2 linked regions of the Nothobranchius furzeri genome follow. The protein of the gene in region 1 interacts with the protein of each later gene in a biochemical or structural test. Links are inferred from orthologs where the notes say so. Each region holds a gene or a part of one and is shown in the gene's direction. Other genes may lie near its edges.

Evidence for each region.
Region 2: the proteins of cacna1ha (region 1) and usp5 form a complex in vitro, tested with the Homo sapiens proteins (2 studies listed by BioGRID, with this or other methods). The link is inferred for Nothobranchius furzeri from reciprocal best matches to the Homo sapiens genes CACNA1H and USP5.

Annotation. Positions count from the first base shown.
Region 1 is NC_091752.1:49,325,442-49,329,765, reverse strand, and holds the start of cacna1ha (voltage-dependent T-type calcium channel subunit alpha-1H), read left to right. Parts: upstream 1-1,404; 5' UTR 1,405-1,954; intron 1,955-3,787; 5' UTR 3,788-3,811; coding exon 3,812-4,254; intron 4,255-4,324.
Region 2 is NC_091745.1:74,214,499-74,218,812, forward strand, and holds the start of usp5 (ubiquitin carboxyl-terminal hydrolase 5), read left to right. Parts: upstream 1-1,366; 5' UTR 1,367-1,504; coding exon 1,505-1,612; intron 1,613-2,150; coding exon 2,151-2,279; intron 2,280-2,364; coding exon 2,365-2,431; intron 2,432-2,750; coding exon 2,751-2,878; intron 2,879-3,303; coding exon 3,304-3,449; intron 3,450-3,585; coding exon 3,586-3,770; intron 3,771-3,894; coding exon 3,895-3,989; intron 3,990-4,314. Other genes in the region: p3h3 (prolyl 3-hydroxylase 3), read right to left, coding at 68-362. UniProt on the Homo sapiens protein: Deubiquitinating enzyme that participates in a wide range of cellular processes by specifically cleaving isopeptide bonds between ubiquitin and substrate proteins or ubiquitin itself.

The DNA of each region.
Region 1 (4,324 bases):
CTGGTCTTTTTCAAGATTGGTGACACAGTCAGTGCACCCTTGGTTCATTTGAAAGCAAATCAGCGTTATAGAATAATTTTTGGGTGTCAAAACAGGTACAAAAGTTTTGTTTTCAAAATTAGGAAAATGAAAGTCTAAAGGAACAAATACGATTTTGTAGTTCAAACAGCAGTGCTGAACGTGTTTGTTTGTATTTGAGAACATTACCTAATGTCCAGTTGAAACTGGTGTTGTTTCGTGAGCTTTCATATTGGTTTTCTCAGGAAAAGGAAATTGAAAGATTAATATCATGTTTATTTAGTTAACCTCGGACCCTGTGTCCACATATGTGGACATTGGCTCCTTGACTTTTAAAATGTTATCATCTCCACCTCAGACCTTTTTGTTATTATTTATAGACACATGACATTGAAACTGATTTAAAATGTTTTGTTTTCTTTCTTTTTTTACAGGAAATTTGACAAATTTTTTATTTAATAAAATTTTAATTAAATTTTGATATTTGTAGATTTGTTTCCGTTAATGAGAGTAGACTACTCTGTAATAGTTAGATATATTTTTTTCTTTTAAATCACATCAAATTCGGGTTCAGGTTTCAGGAGGTTAAGACAAAATCGGTATTGGCAAAAATCGGTGAAAAGACCAGTGATCTGTCAAAAACTGCAATCGGTGCACCTCTAATCAGAACGGGTTTCTATAACCTGTAAAATGTGGATTATAACAGTTTTGTCTGTTTGAGTGCATCTGTCCCTGTAAAACACCCCACTGGAAATATTTTAGTGAGAATTTATTGATCATCAGACGTACATCTGTAACTCTTCGAAGTCAACCAGAGTAGATGAATTCAACAGCTTATTGAAATGAGCATGTGCAGGTGTTGAGATAATTTTGGTTTCCTCACCACACACATATAATCTTCCTAAAATTATGTTATTTTTTAAATCCTGGCATGAAAAGCAGCGACTGATCTAATCCTTTATGTCTCACAACAAGAACGCCCTCCTCTGGAGCCTTTCTGAGAGGGGTTGCATGTCCTCTAAATGAGTTTCCTCCTTGTAATCATGTTTTTCAAACACACGCCTGTTGGTAATGAAGGATTTAAGCTGACTTTAGGTGTGAGTGTGCATAAATGTCTATATGTCACCTGTCTGGGTGTGCCTTGCCTCTCTGAAAGCTGGAATGATGGAGGAATTGTGTTGTCAATCATTTGTGTGACGTAGCAGAATAATATAGTTACTAAAGCCACTGCTTGGAGTTAAAATAACAGTTTTGCAAAAATGCATTTGGATTTCCCCCAAAAACCCTGAAATAACGAGATTTTTTAGATACAAATTCAAGGTTTGAAAAACAGCCCACGTGGACAATTATTATTATTATTATTATTATTATTATTAATTGCAGGATTTTGTCTAATAAATGCATTTAGTGCTAATGTGCGCTCTCCATTTGCTCAATTCTTCATTTTCCTCGTGCGCGCCTGAGCGCGCGTGTGCGTGCGTCTCCCTGGTGAACATCGCTCCTCTCCGGACACCAGGTCACGTGTGAGGGCTCTCAGGTCCTGGGCCAAGTTCCTATTGGTGTCAGATCTTCCACAGAGCTCCAGCGCACCCACCCACTCACACATACCCGCTCGCGCGCGCGCCAGCCCACCCCACCCGCTCCACGCTGCGCAACTAACTCCTCGGCGAGGATGGACGGGCAGATGGATGCGTGGATAGATCACGTCCCCGTCTTTTAATTGAAGCGCAGATCAACACCACTCCAAGACACTTCCTCGACTTCTTCCGGTGATTCCTGCGGATCTTAAGGATTGTTTCTGATCACAAACAAAAAGAAAAAAATTGAATTTGCGGAAAGAGAGGAAAAGGGAAGGTCCGCGCCGTGCCGCGCCGCTGAGGAACGACGGAAAGTCACGGATCATGCTTATGGGAACTCCCGATTCCGCCTCAATAAGGTATTTAAAACAAATAAGTTCTTTCAGTTTGCACATTATATTAGTGTGCATATAATATCTAATAATCTACTTTTTACAACAAAAAAGCACTATGAGAAGGCAACGAGCGCTCAGTTACCTCCTGCGCTTTTCTTTCCTTTCGTCTCATTTTCCTTTAAAAATAAGTTATTTAAACATCCAATCATGTGAAAATGCGTGAAATGTCTTGCATTAAATGAAATCTCTTATTGGGAGCGCGCAAACATCAGATGCGCTTTTCATGATGGACAAAGAGAATAAAAATAACAAAAAAAAAATCAAGAGTGACGTCTGCTTTTGCTGGATTATCATGACAAATGTATTTGTCCTTCTCCATGTCTTTCCGTTTATTATAATAATCAGGATTAGCGAGGCGTAAAAGCCCCCCTCCCTATTTTTGGCGCATTTACGCTGCGTGCCCACCGTGGAATAGTGTGGGCTAAAGACCTTCAGTAGACCAGAGACAGAGTGGTCCATCTGTTCCATCACATAGCAACAGGAAGAGACAGGAAGGCATGGGAAAAGCTCCATTCTGTCTACATCCTACATGTTTAGCCTCGATTTAGTTTGTCTTTTTTGTCACATTTAAATGTTTCAGATCAGCAAAAGAATTCCAGAATGGAAGAAAATCCGAGTGAATACTAGATGGAGTTTTCAAATCGTATTTTTTTAGGGTAAAGGAGCAAAAGCTATTCAAATGGTTCTATTTTAAAAAGTTATCGACCTTCTTGTTAATTGAGGCAAAAAAAAAAAAAAAGGAAGCATCACAAAGACCCGTCTACCATCTACCAAAACATTTAGCACAACCTCCGAAACTTCTGGGACATGTTCCATGGACCGATGAGATCAAAACCGCTGCGTCGTTACATCTCAGAACACCAAAGTCAGACATGGCGGCGTCTACGGCTGCATAAGGACATGGACCACTCGCTGTGATTGGTGTAACCGTGAATTCTGATCTTTATTTAAAAAATCCTTTACAGGATCACGTCTGACCTTTGACCTTAAACAGGCCGTTCATGCTGGCGACCCTCCAATGTGGCTGGATTACATAAAGAGAGTCCATAAAGAGAGTTAGCACAAAGCCCCGACTGCTGTTGAGTTTTAGAGCTAGTTATGAAGGTTACACGTCGGGTTTTCTCCCTCACATAGAATCAAGTTGTTTTAGGTTGCTTCGTTCTCCTAAAACATGCACAAGAATGAGATTGCAGATATGAGGGTGTGAAATAGGGTGAGAAGCTCGGTCATCTGGGATGCCTCTCTGGTGAGGTTTTCCATGCACATCCAACCGGGAGACCAAGAAGACCCAAGACCTGATGGAGGGACTGTGTTTCTTGTCTGGGAAAGCCTTAGAATCCACCGGAGGAGCTGGGGGGAGTCTGGGCCTCACTGCTTAGGCTACTGCCCACGTGAGCCGACCCCCAATAAGCAAATGATGATGGATGGATGGCTCACGACTTAAACATGTATTTTAGATTTACTCGGGGTTCTTGGTTATTGAAACTTACCTGCTGATCTTTAAATTACAAAAACCCAAAACTCTGTAAATGCCAAAAGTCCCTGTAGAATGAATTCGGCACCACTGTCACCATACAGTCGTCTCGCTGTCATTTGTGCATCGGTGATGTCATCATTTTATACTACTACCTGAAAAATCTCTGTGTCATGAGATATTTATTCATTTAGTTGTTAGAATTTGTGCCAGAAACTGATTGATCTTGGTTTTATCTTCTTTCCTGATGATCCCCCCCCCCCCCCCCACCTGCATGTCCTTTCTCTCTACACCACCCACCTCTTCCTCTGACCTCCCCTCAGAGTGGCTCTGCCTGATGCTCTATCATGACTGATGGCGAGGGGAGAGTCCGCTTTCAGTACGAAGAGCGCCAAGAGCGAGGGGAGGAGCAAGGCGACGTGAGGCTTTCTGTACGGACCGCCCACAGGAGCGAGAAGTCCCCAGGTCAGCACGATGTTGACCCAGGAGGATGTCAGGATGAGGAGAAGGAGGAGAAGGAGGAGGAGGTGGAAAATAAAGGACAGAGAATCTATAGAGATGGAGACCAATGGAGTGGTGAAGTTCAGGAAGGTGTGGAGCAGGAACCAGAGCTGGAGGTGGACGCTGGACCCACGCTAGGAGTTCGGATCACAGCTCCTATTCATGACCCGGACTGTGTCTCCGACGAGGAGGAGCAGCAGCCGTACCCAGCCCTGGCTCCGCTAGTCTTCTTTTGCCTAAAACAAACGACGAGGCCTCGCAACTGGTGTCTTCGAATGGTCTGTAACCCATATCCTTTTACACACCAGTGCTCTGACAGCTGGTGAGGCCAAATGTCCATTCTAACGTCCAACACACCC
Region 2 (4,314 bases), on another chromosome or scaffold:
ACAGTTTAAATTAAACTTAACTGATGCAAAATCTTTTGAGATAACATTCTGTAGCCTGATAACTTACCTAGTTTACTGAGAGCTGCAGTCCCAGATGCTGCACAGTCATCATAACACTGTCTGCGGACCTTCAGCAGCGTCTCTTTGGTGGTGATGGACTTCTCCAGCAGCTCTGCAGCCTTTGCCCACTCCCCTCCATAATACGCCCGAACCCCGCTGTAATACAGAAAATCATAGGGCTGCAAAAGCGACAAAACATTAGAGCTGCCGCTAAGCGACGCACCCACGGTTATGTTTATTAGAGCTAAAATAAGATAATAACGCGCCACGTATGCAGTGAGATGTTGCGCGTGCAGCGCCATGGTCCGAGGAGCAGACGGGAGTCAGAGGAAGAGGAGGAGTGAGAGAGACGTGAAGAAGAGCTCAAATCAGAAAGACACGATCACAGATCAAGGACCTCGTCGCACATTTAGTGTCGATTTTCAACTTTTTAAAATAAAATTGTTCTAGTCTAACTAAAAGTGCAGTTTTAAAACTGATTTAAACTTGTTAGAAGTAGTTTTAAAGCGGCAGTGTTTTACCGCCACTAGAGGGCGCTGTTTTTGTGTTCAACCGTAATTACCGTAATTCGGCAAATAAGGTATCTTGAACGAAAGGCAATAGTTAACCACTGATAAGATGATTCATTAAATGAGTTTAGCAATTTGTGGATTTTTGATGCATGTATAAAGTTTTAATCAGTTGTGTAGTGCTGTCAGATGTCCACGTAGTGTGAATTTTTAGAATAACAATATGTCTGGATGCTCTTGTTTTGTAGATTACGGTAATGGTTTGAAACTGTTTGCAGGTCGAGGCAGCATATATTCAAACAACAATTTTGTCTTCTGTTTTGATACCAAAATATGCATGTCTGTCAAAGTGTTTTCTTACAAGTAAGGTTTGACAGCTAAGATAAATCACGTTGTGGTCAAATAAAGTCTGTTCAACTGAGACTGAACAATTAGGATGATTAAAATCTCTCAAATCCCTGATGACTACATGTGACCATTTACGTGCTTATTTGGTAATTCGTAACATGTTTTTGTAAAAATCAAGATTAAAAATTATTTTTTAACAACATGTTTCTGAGAGCAGAAGCAGTGTTTTATCTTTTCCACAACCTAGATCATATTTTTTTGAGTCAAACATCTTAAACATCCAAAGAGGACTCATGGCAGTATTTTTGACTGAGGTAGCATTATGGTTAATATAAATGTTATTTTGACGAGATTTCTTTAGAAAACTATATGGATTTAAGTGGCTTTAGGACTGTTATATGAAAGTTTGGCTTTCCTTAAAGGTCTCGTGCTCGGCCTTCCTCCAACACAAGGCAGCCTCTCATGATTCATTCAGGCAAACAGACAGTAGCAGGCAGGCTAAACAACGGACGGGTAATCTAAAAGCTGGGTGGCCAAACCTAGAAGAACAAGGCTCCTCATTGAATAACACAATTAGATAATTCACCATGACGGATGTTGGTGAGGTTTTGATGTCGGTTTTGTCCACAATTCGTGTTCCGAAGCCGGGGGACCGTGTTCACAAAGATGAATGCGCCCTGTCATTTGCTTCGCCGGTGAGCCGTTTCTTTTATAAATCACACTAATAACTCACCGGAAGAGCAGAGCTATTTTCTCATTGTATTCGTCTCATGAAATTTAGTCTGACCTACAATTTTTTTACTCCTCTTTAACGAACTGCTTTACTACATGTTCTCTCAGCTAACTGGCAAGCTAGCGTCAAGCTAAGCTAATAATGCATTGTAATGGAAACGTAGCTTTTAGCTATCTCTGCTGGTTTAACTGTCAAACCAGAAAGCAAGATAACAAATGTTATGTGGCTACAACTATAGCCGAATTTTTGGAGAAGTTGTCATAAAAATGATCTTAGTGCTATAAACCTTTGGTGTTATACTTGTGAACATAGAAATCAATAAATTAACGTTAGTTACCTTGTTCTACAATGCTAACTAAGCTAACTAAGTTGCCCAGGTTACATCCACTGATGCTTTGTCACTGAGATGCACTGATTGGTTCCAACTTTTTTGTGTTGTGGACAGGTGGTGAGAGATCTAGGAGGTTGTGCAACAGTAAACATTAGTTTCTGTTTTTCAGGAGAGTGATGGAGGCCTGTACGTGTGCATGAACAGCTTTCTGGGCTTTGGTAGTCAGTACGTTGACAGACACCATGCTCGGACTGGCCATAGGGCTTACCTGCACATAACCCGGACTCGTAAGGCCAAGGTAGACCCTTGAAACCGTATGAATAATGTAAAAAATTTGAAAAATGTTCCATTTTTAAAATCATGTTCTATCATTATGCTTACAGAAGGAAGATGACAACAACTCTGGCTCTGGACACCCACCTAAGAAAAAGCCCACTAGGCTGGCAATAGGTAAGACGTCATGCTAAATTATTTGAATCGGCTTTAAAGTAAACCTGTGATTGCTGTGATAGTTTAAAAAAAAAACTCAAATTTAGTTTTTCTTGTAGTTTTTTGGATATCAAATCAATCAATCCTCTTTTTGTCATTTATCTTTTATATGCAGAATATTTTATGTTTTTTTTAATCATTCTTGTTTGTGCAAAACATAGGTCCCACTTTAATTCACTAAAATTTCATCATTGGGATTTTTTAATAGTAAAATGTACTGAAGGCATTTTACGGTCATCGTTACATGTCTTCTGTCTTTGCTGTTTTTCTTCTGCCCTAGGGATTGAAGGAGGCTTTGATGTTGAACAAGATCAGTATGAGGAGGATGTAAAGGTGGTCATTTTACCAGACAGACAGGAAGTGACTTCAGAGGATCTTGCTACAATGACTGATGTTGTCAGAGAGCGGGTGAGTCATCAAAAAATTAATTTTGTATCAAATAAAATCATGGGATGTTTAAATAAAATGAAACAAATCCCTCTAATTGCAATCTGGCTGATTCATTCCTTAAAACATTAAATTTTGTGCTGCACTATCAATAATTTTTTAATAAGAAATTAGTTTAAATAAAGGAGTTCTCATTTATGGCTTGCATGGTGGCGCAGTGGTTAGCACTGTTGCCTCGCAGCACGAAGGTTGCAGGTTCGAAACTCGGCTGCAGCCTTTCTGCGTGGAGTTGCGTGTTCTCCCCATGCATGCGTGGGTTTCCTCCGGGTTCTCCGGTTTCCCCCACAGATCACAACATGCCCTATAGGTTATAAACTGTAAGTCGCTTTGGATAAAAGCGTCTGCCAAATAAATAAACATAAACATGTCTTGTTGTGTAAATCTAGGTGTCTCTGTCAATGACGGGTATCATGACCGCCGACTCCGTGTCTCATGCCTTACAAGTCCAGCAGTGGGACGGAGAAGTGAGACACGAGTCGAAGCATGCCGCCGACCTTAAACAGCTGGACAATGGACTCAAGATCCCTCCCAGGTGAAGTCAAAGCTGTCTGGATCTTGTTCTCAGTTGCTTTTCATCAGACGATGGATCACCATCCAGAACGTGAAAAGAAAAAGTGAAATGTATATTTTAGAACCCATGCATCTGAAGGTTTTGCTTTTCTTTGTAGCGGCTGGCGTTGTGAAGTCTGTGACCTTCAGGAAAATCTGTGGATGAACCTGACGGATGGGAAAGTCCTTTGCGGTCGCAGGTATTTTGACGGCTCTGGGGGCAACAACCACGCTCTTCTCCACTACCAGGAGACCGGTTACCCCCTCGCTGTCAAACTTGGTACCATCACTCCAGATGGTGCTGGTGAGCAGAAACCTTTTTAAGCTGTAATTTGAGTATTTTTGGTGTTTTTTGCTGAATTGATCGAGTTTATGTTTTCATCCGTCCACTGCTGGTTTTCATCTGCTGCCTGTTTTCTTATGTCCAGATGTGTATTCCTATGATGAGGATGACATGGTGCTGGATTCCAAGTTACCGGAGCACCTAAGTCACTTTGGCATTGACATGATGACTATGGAGAAGGTGAGACTTGTGTTAAAATGTATTTTATTTAGAAAAACCGACACCGCTGCGAAGCTGCAGAGCGCTACTCTCAGGAGTGAAGGGAAACTAGAGACGACAGTTCGAAGTAGAGGGAGAGAAAAGGTACCTGACGCCGGGGACACACCGGTCGCCGAAGCGCCGGGAGGCGAAGCGCTCACGAAATTCGGCCACTGCTCCTCAGTTCAGACCTGACGCTTCTTTCTCTGCTCCTCTGCTCCGGTCGAGGCACGCCTCGTAGTTTTTCTTTTAACCACTTGGTGTCCTCCATTTCCTCTCTGCCTTTTCTCTGCTCTTTTCCTCTACA